Linked DNA regions of Arabidopsis thaliana. The protein of the gene in region 1 interacts with the protein of each later gene in a biochemical or structural test. Each region holds a gene or a part of one and is shown in the gene's direction. Other genes may lie near its edges.

Region 1 (4,048 bases):
GTTTAGTCCCGCGGCCAGAAAGAGTTCAAGTTCATCCACAAATCGGTCTGTTCTCGCCATTACAAATGGACGTGCTGCTTCTGAGACAACTGCTTTGAATTGTTCTTGATTTGTTGTCTCTGCGCTTCTTGTTTCTTGTTTGCGTCTCTGTTTGATTCTGAATATGAGAGAAATAGAGACTATTCATGAGCAAAACATCAAACTTCTACTTTGACCAGTTAAAACTCTAGCCAATCAAAATATATACCCACGAGTTCTAAGTTTTTACATTCTCCTTAAAACAATTACCTTTTGCAGAAGGATTCCATCACACCGACCAAATGATGCAGAACAATATCAACATCTTCCTCCTATAGACAAGGGAAAAAATTGAAGCAAACAAAGAACAAAATCATCTTTGCGAACAACTGAACAAGAAGATAACAGCAAAAAGGCAGAAATATCCATGAAAGGGATTTTGTACAGAAGCAAACCTGCATCAGAGCTTGAAGCTCCCTCCTCAACCAGGCTTCAAGGCACCGGTTCGGCTGGAGAAACTTTTGCAGCTTCCAAAACCGTGCAACATCGAATACATCGGCGAGGAAACCTGGTTAAGACCACAAAGAGACCGAGAAAGAGAAGGGAATTCTTGTAAAACTTTCATTCTTGATTGATAAACACATTTGAATCTACTTTCTATCAGTTTATTATTCCAAACTAAATCGAGTAACGGATTCCCAACTATTGTAATGGTATTGAATATTATGCGCAAGTGTGTTTTGATCTCAAAGTAAGTGCAGAGAAGGGAAAAACCTGATTCGGTGTAGTAACACTGCAACCTGTATCTCTGTTCTTTTGTTAATACAAAACTGAAAACAAGAAGATGAAAGTAGAGTAAGATATCACGAAATTCTCAGAACACATATATATTCAAATCAAGGAAACCACAAGCTAACCTACCCATCTGGAATATTCGGGTCGATATAATGCCGCTCAAAAGAACATCCATCGTAGTTGTGGATGATGGATAAATTCTCTGTCTGCATAAGTTATGGTCATTCCTGTAAACAAGTTCTTCAAGGTGTTGTGAGCAGAAAAGAGCGTTTCCAAGAAGCAGACCTTACAGAGAGGACATGTCACTGAGGAACGTTGCTTAGAGGCCTTGCTTGAAACAACTTTGATCCATTGTTTTATACAATTGAAACAAAACTTGTCTGCAACAAAACATAAAATCAAAACAAACATATATGTTCTAATCAGTTCATGGACGAAGGTCTCAGTCATTACCTTAACCATAAACCTACTATGGTCTATCTAAGATACACAAGAGCTAATCAATCTAATCTCTTTTTGGAATTAACTAATCAATCTGATTAAATTGTTCACAGAAAAAAAAGATTGAATCTTTGAATACACACTCAAAACTTCAAATTCTAGATGAAATCAAGAAGCATCTAACCACAAGTTTTAACAGAAAACTGAAAAAGAGAAGAAGCGTACGGAAACAGGTATCAAGGTAGGATTCACGGAGGAATTGTCCAAGGCAAATAGGACATGGATCAAAATCGGATCCATCGTCAATAGAACCGCTCCCGCCGGCGATCTCCTTCGCCGCCATACCAACTCACTGACTCAGGTCTCTCTCCGCTTGGCGCTGATTCAGCGTTACGGCGTCGTTGTGACTAAACACAGGTTATATTTTTCTTTTGTTGAAACTTTCAAAATAATCCTTAAACTCTTTCAACATTCAAAATAAACCCAAACTATTTTAAATTACCAAAATTTACCCGTCACTTTGATGAGTTTTTGTTTGTTATGGTTCCAGAATTAAAAAAAAACATTGCCTTTGAATTTCATGATAATCAAAGAATATGATGAAGAAGCACTACAAACCAATTCTCTCTCAGCTAGAGAATTGCAGATCATTGGTGGAACTGAATCAACTCCATGGTTTAATGATCAAATCCTCAGTTATCAGAAACGTCATTCCTCTAAGCCGACTCATAGATTTCTGCACTACTTGTCCTGAGACTATGAATCTCAGCTACGCGAGATCAGTTTTCGAAAGTATCGATTGTCCAAGTGTTTATATATGGAACTCTATGATCAGAGGCTACTCAAACAGTCCAAATCCAGATAAAGCATTGATCTTTTACCAAGAAATGCTTCGAAAAGGTTATTCTCCGGATTATTTCACTTTTCCTTATGTTCTTAAGGCTTGTTCTGGGTTAAGGGATATTCAATTCGGGAGTTGTGTTCATGGGTTTGTTGTGAAAACTGGGTTTGAAGTGAATATGTATGTTTCTACTTGCTTGCTTCATATGTATATGTGTTGTGGAGAAGTGAATTATGGTTTGAGAGTTTTTGAGGATATTCCTCAGTGGAACGTTGTTGCTTGGGGAAGTTTGATTTCTGGTTTTGTGAATAACAATCGGTTTAGTGACGCTATTGAGGCGTTTAGGGAGATGCAGAGTAATGGTGTGAAGGCAAATGAGACAATAATGGTGGATCTTTTGGTTGCTTGTGGTAGATGTAAAGACATTGTGACTGGGAAATGGTTTCATGGGTTTCTTCAAGGATTAGGCTTTGATCCATATTTTCAGTCCAAAGTTGGATTCAATGTGATTTTGGCTACAAGTCTCATTGATATGTATGCTAAATGTGGAGATCTGAGAACTGCGAGGTATCTGTTCGATGGAATGCCTGAGAGAACCTTGGTTTCTTGGAACTCCATCATTACAGGGTATAGTCAGAACGGTGATGCAGAGGAAGCACTGTGTATGTTTTTGGATATGCTTGATTTGGGTATAGCTCCTGATAAAGTAACCTTTTTGAGTGTTATCAGAGCTTCCATGATCCAAGGATGTTCACAATTGGGACAATCGATTCACGCTTATGTATCGAAAACCGGCTTTGTGAAGGATGCTGCCATAGTTTGTGCACTTGTAAATATGTATGCTAAAACCGGTGATGCTGAGAGCGCAAAAAAAGCGTTTGAAGATCTGGAGAAGAAAGATACAATAGCTTGGACCGTTGTGATCATTGGGTTAGCCAGTCACGGCCACGGGAATGAAGCATTGAGTATATTCCAGAGGATGCAAGAGAAAGGTAATGCTACACCTGATGGAATCACATATCTCGGGGTCTTATATGCGTGTAGCCACATAGGTTTAGTTGAGGAAGGACAGAGATACTTTGCAGAAATGAGAGATCTTCACGGCTTAGAACCAACAGTTGAACACTATGGATGTATGGTTGATATCTTGAGCCGTGCTGGTCGTTTTGAAGAGGCAGAGAGATTGGTAAAGACTATGCCGGTAAAACCCAATGTTAATATATGGGGTGCATTGTTAAATGGTTGTGATATACATGAAAATCTCGAGCTCACTGATCGGATAAGATCCATGGTTGCTGAGCCAGAAGAACTTGGTAGCGGAATCTATGTTCTTCTATCTAATATATACGCCAAAGCTGGCCGATGGGCTGATGTTAAGCTAATTAGAGAATCCATGAAGAGCAAAAGGGTAGATAAAGTTTTAGGTCATAGTTCTGTTGAAACAATGTTCTAATTCAGGGTCCTACTTGACCTCGTTATAAACCTTATTTTAAATTAAGAGGTCGTGATTTTCACCTCATTAACAACTAATTAAGATCACTAAAAAGAATAGTTTTGTTTGATTCTAAGAGAACAATAGTACTTTTGAATTAGTTTTCTTTGGAATAAAAGAAAGTCTAAAACTTTTCAGAAAACTGAAATACAAAAAGTCTTGGACTAGGTTTGATGTTTTATTCAATCTTCATCATCTGTATGCATCTGGTAAACTGTAACCAGGCAAGACTATCTTGTCAGCAAACATCTTCCCGGTCTTGGGCATGACATGCCAGTGTAATGTCAAGTTGAAGTCTTTGCCCCGAAGATTCTGTCCCTGAAAAATCCCAAATGATGATCAGTTTCCGTTTCTGACGAAGTAAAAACGCAGAAGACTTGTCCAGCTTGTTTACTGTACCTGATCGATGAAACGGTACTTGTTTGAGACTTGAATCCGGAATTTGGCATGTTCCTTGGCAG
Region 2 (4,480 bases), on another chromosome or scaffold:
CAAGGGATTAAAGTCCAAGGAGGTCATGAGACATACATTTCAAACTCCTTCTTGGGGCAACATTCAACGGTAGGAGGAGACAGAGAAGAAAGAGGATTTACTGGGACAGGAATCGATATCTCGAGTAACGACAATGCCATTACGGATGTAGTGATTTTCTCGGCTGGTATCGGTATCTCTTTGAATGGTGGTGCAAATATGGTTACGGGTGTGCATTGCTACAATAAAGCTACATGGTTTGGTGGCATTGGCATTCTAGTGAAATCACATTTAACGAGGATAGATAATTGTTACCTTGATTACACAGGTATAGTCATAGAAGACCCTGTCCATGTTCATGTCACCAATGCTTTGTTCTTAGGAGATGCAAACATCGTCTTGAGATCGGTACACGGGAAGATTTCCGGTGTAAACATCGTCAACAACATGTTTAGCGGTACCGCCAAAAACAACTTCCCGATTGTCAAGCTAGAAGGAGAGTTTCATGATATTAATCAAGTTGTGATTGATCAAAACAATGCAGAAGGGATGATGCTGAAATCAACAACCGGAAAGGCCATGGTTTCCGCAAATGGAACACGATGGATCGCTGATTTTTCCCCTGTTTTGGTATTCCCTAACCGGATAAACCATTACCAGCATTCGTTTTTCGCTCAATCCGGACAGATCCCTGCAAATGCAGTGACCAATGTCTCCAACAATATGGTGGTTGTAGAAACCGATAGAGCTGTAACTGGAACCGTGTCAATAATTGCTTATCAGTAAAACAACATTCTTCACATTGATCATATTCCTAATAAGAAAGCATGATTTGACATCTGATTTATACAAGTTCAGTTACAGTTTGGTGAGCTTGATACTAACAACTAATACCAGCAATCAGCAACCTCATCATTAGCGGCTTCTTCTGGCTCATCCGACTTCTCAGGTGGACCAGAAGTCCTAGGCAGTCCTTGGAAATCACGTTTACCTGGTTTCGCAATGTCTATATAAATCATTCTGCCATTGTACATCTGCAACAGAGGAATGGGAAACATTTAGGTTGATTTCAAGACATAAAAATGTAAACTTGTGATTGAAAGAAGCTTTTACCCGACGGTCCATGGTCTCTATGGCAAGAAAAGCATCATCTTGAGACGTGAATTGAATAAAAGCATAACCTTTTGATCTCTTCATTGCCTCATCTTTGATAAGCTTAACTGTTTTGAAGTATAAGAGTGAACATATCAATGCCATAAAACTGAACCTTAAAGCAACAAAACAGAGTAAAATTGAAACCGCAAACATACCTTCAGCTATCTCTCCAAAAGCTGAAAACTCTCTCTTTAGAAAATCTTCACTTGTAGAAAACGGTAAATCTACAAATTCAAAGTGAAGAAACATCAGAACCGTAGAGTAATTACCAAGTTGAAGTTACAACCAACTTCAACTTCACTAATGATTGCTACAAGAGCTTAGAGCTATCACATATGACTACCGTCACAATCCTGACTCAAATCAACTAATTTCAATCAAACCAGAATCATAAATTACTTTTGGAACAATAACAGAACCATGTCCTAATCTCAGCTAGAAGCGAATTCAAATATAAACCAAAAGATAATCTGAATCTTACTTCTGACCATGATTTTGCTCGCTAGAGGGTAATTAAAGAGCGAAGCTTTAATCTTTGGAAACCTAAGGTTCCTGTAATTAGGTAGAGAAGATGAAGAAGCCACAAAAGAAGGGAAAGATAACGTCGCCGACCACATAATTCACAGTCGCCGGAAATAGAGAGGGAGAAGAAGAAGAAACAAACAGAGAGTTATAAAACGACAGCGGTATAGTAAAAAGCTAAGGCCTAAGTTTTTTGGCCCAGTGATAAATTTGAAACTTTAGGCGGAAACTAAAAACATTTGAAACAATAAGGACTTAAAAAGTAATTTACTATTTATTTAGATATTGTAAAACCCACACAAAAACCCTAATTTCATTTCTCCAAAGCTTTCCAGAATACTCTCCACTCCTTCATAATTTCTCTGGCAACGATGGCTATGATATCTCACCGTCTCCGACGAGCTTTACTCACTGCGACTTCCTATGTTAACCGATCAATTAGCTCTTCGATCACACCAGCGTCTGATTTCCCTTCTGTGTCGGCGGCGGTGTTAAAGAGATCCGTTATAGGGCGTTCGACGGAAGTAGCTACTCGAGCACCGGCGAGACTGTTTTCAACGAGGCAGTACAAGCTTTACAAAGAAGGTGATGAGATCACGGAAGACACTGTGTTGTTCGAAGGATGTGATTATAATCACTGGCTTATCACTATGGATTTCTCCAAAGAGGAAACTCCTAAGTCTCCAGAAGAAATGGTCGCTGCTTATGAAGAAACTTGCGCCCAAGGACTTGGCATCAGGTTAGTAGATGAATTTTTGTCACTGCTTAGATTCGTTGCTTTTGGCTAAATTGTCCAAAAATCATTCAGTAAGTTACTTAAATGTGAGAACTTTACCATTGCTAGGGTTCCATTCACTGTTATATAGCTCTGCTTTGATTTTTGTGTATCTTCTTCTGGTATTGATATTGGTTAAGACGATTATATTGATTCATTTTTGGTGTTTATGGTTGAGTCAGCGTGGAAGAGGCTAAGCAAAGGATGTATGCTTGTAGCACAACTACTTACCAAGGATTTCAAGCAATCATGACTGAACAAGAATCAGAAAAGTTCAAGGGTATATAGTTCGAATCATTTATGTTTGTTTTCTTTTGAATTCAACTTTTTTCACCAGATATTGACTCTGTTATTGGTATATGTAAACAGATCTACCCGGAGTGGTTTTCATCTTGCCAGATTCCTACATTGATCCCCAGAACAAAGAGTATGGAGGTGAGCTGGTTTTTTTTACAAACTGGTCTTATTTTGGATATTTGTTGTTGGGACTCTATCAACAAAATTATGTTTCTTGTTTTCAGGAGATAAATACGAGAATGGAGTGATAACACACAGGCCACCACCGATTCAGAGTGGCAGAGCAAGACCTCGTCCTAGATTTGACCGTTCAGGAGGAGGAAGTGGTGGTCCCCAAAACTTCCAAAGAAACACACAGTATGGTCAGCAACCACCAATGCAAGGTGGTGGAGGGAGCTATGGTCCTCAACAGGGCTATGCCACTCCAGGACAAGGTCAGGGAACTCAAGCGCCTCCACCATTTCAAGGAGGTTATAACCAAGGCCCGAGATCTCCACCACCTCCATATCAGGCAGGTTACAATCAAGGCCAGGGATCTCCAGTGCCTCCATATCAGGCAGGTTACAATCAAGTCCAGGGATCTCCAGTGCCTCCATACCAAGGAACACAAAGCAGTTACGGTCAAGGTGGATCTGGGAACTATAGTCAAGGGCCACAAGGTGGTTACAACCAAGGAGGACCTAGGAATTACAATCCACAGGGAGCTGGAAACTTTGGTCCTGCATCTGGAGCTGGAAACTTAGGTCCTGCACCTGGAGCTGGAAATCCTGGCTATGGTCAGGGGTATTCTGGACCAGGACAAGAGCAGAATCAGACATTCCCACAGGCAGATCAGAGGAATCGAGACTGGAACAACAATAATCCAGCAGGCCAGCCCGGGTCTGACCAAGTAAGATCTCGATCAATAATGAATCTTGCATCTTTCTTTTTTGATATCCTCATCAGGCATTAAAGTACCCCATTTTCCCCATATTTGTTACTGAGATGGTCCTGTGTTTCAGTTTCCACAGGGAAGAAGGTACTAGACAGAGAGCATGCTGCAGTGAATTGAGCTGAATAAGGAGAGAAGTGTCAAAGGCCTTTTATTAAGTTTTACAGTAAATAGTATTTAGTCATCTTTCTACTTTGTAAGACAATAGTTAGTCCTTTTTTCTCTTAAGTTGAGCTTGTTAACGTTGTTGGTTGCGCTTGTGAAATTGAAACACTCTTTCTAGAAGTTCTTTTAAGACCTAATATGCTTGCTTTACCTGAGACATTTGGAATCGTCCACACTTGTAGCTACTGTATTCAGTCTACTAACCAAAAATCAAACGGAACTTTGAAGACCACTTTGAATAGAAATGATGAATTTTGTAAACACTTGGAGCTCTTTACATGGAGATAATGTTTCTAAAGCTAAAAGACAATACTTTCTTGTTTCTTCTTGACTGGTGGCAGTTTCGGTAATACCCAAGTAGGAGACTCGTTTAGCCACAGTGCTTCACCTGTCTCCTTGTGCTTGAAATCAGGGGCTTTTGCATTTCTCTTCAAAACAAAAACGATATTGGGACAATAGGTCAGTTTCTTGGAAAGATTGATGAAAAACCGAGCAAAAGATATTGGTATCCTACCTTGTCGATTCTATTGTCCCACCATTTATCTGGGTTCTGAACCAAGTCCTTCCATGATTCTTCTCCTACACATATCAGCCCAGATTTCAGTTTATACAAACATACTTGAACAAGTGCCACATAACTGTAAACAACTTTCTTT

The links.
Region 2: the proteins of MEF19 (region 1) and MORF1 form a complex in vitro, tested with the Arabidopsis thaliana proteins (one study listed by BioGRID).

What each region holds. Positions count from the first base shown.
Region 1 is NC_003074.8:1,493,184-1,497,231, reverse strand, and holds MEF19 (mitochondrial editing factor 19), read left to right. Parts: upstream 1-1,850; coding exon 1,851-3,548; downstream 3,549-4,048. Other genes in the region: AT3G05250 (RING/U-box superfamily protein), read right to left, coding at 1-157, 289-350, 474-586, 793-848, 940-1,019, 1,099-1,193, 1,480-1,597; AT3G05230 (Signal peptidase subunit), read right to left, coding at 3,780-3,905, 3,987-4,048.
Region 2 is NC_003075.7:10,843,633-10,848,112, reverse strand, and holds MORF1 (multiple organellar RNA editing factor), read left to right. Parts: upstream 1-1,965; 5' UTR 1,966-2,027; coding exon 2,028-2,395; intron 2,396-2,613; coding exon 2,614-2,711; intron 2,712-2,800; coding exon 2,801-2,866; intron 2,867-2,952; coding exon 2,953-3,680; 3' UTR 3,681-3,711; downstream 3,712-4,480. Other genes in the region: AT4G20040 (Pectin lyase-like superfamily protein), read left to right, coding at 1-765; AT4G20030 (RNA-binding (RRM/RBD/RNP motifs) family protein), read right to left, coding at 867-1,013, 1,093-1,199, 1,290-1,358, 1,616-1,751; PTAC9 (plastid transcriptionally active 9), read right to left, coding at 4,124-4,252, 4,339-4,403. UniProt on the Arabidopsis thaliana protein: Involved in organellar RNA editing. Required for the processing of numerous RNA editing sites in mitochondria. Binds to the mitochondrial MEF19 and MEF21 factors, two pentatricopeptide repeat-containing proteins involved in RNA editing.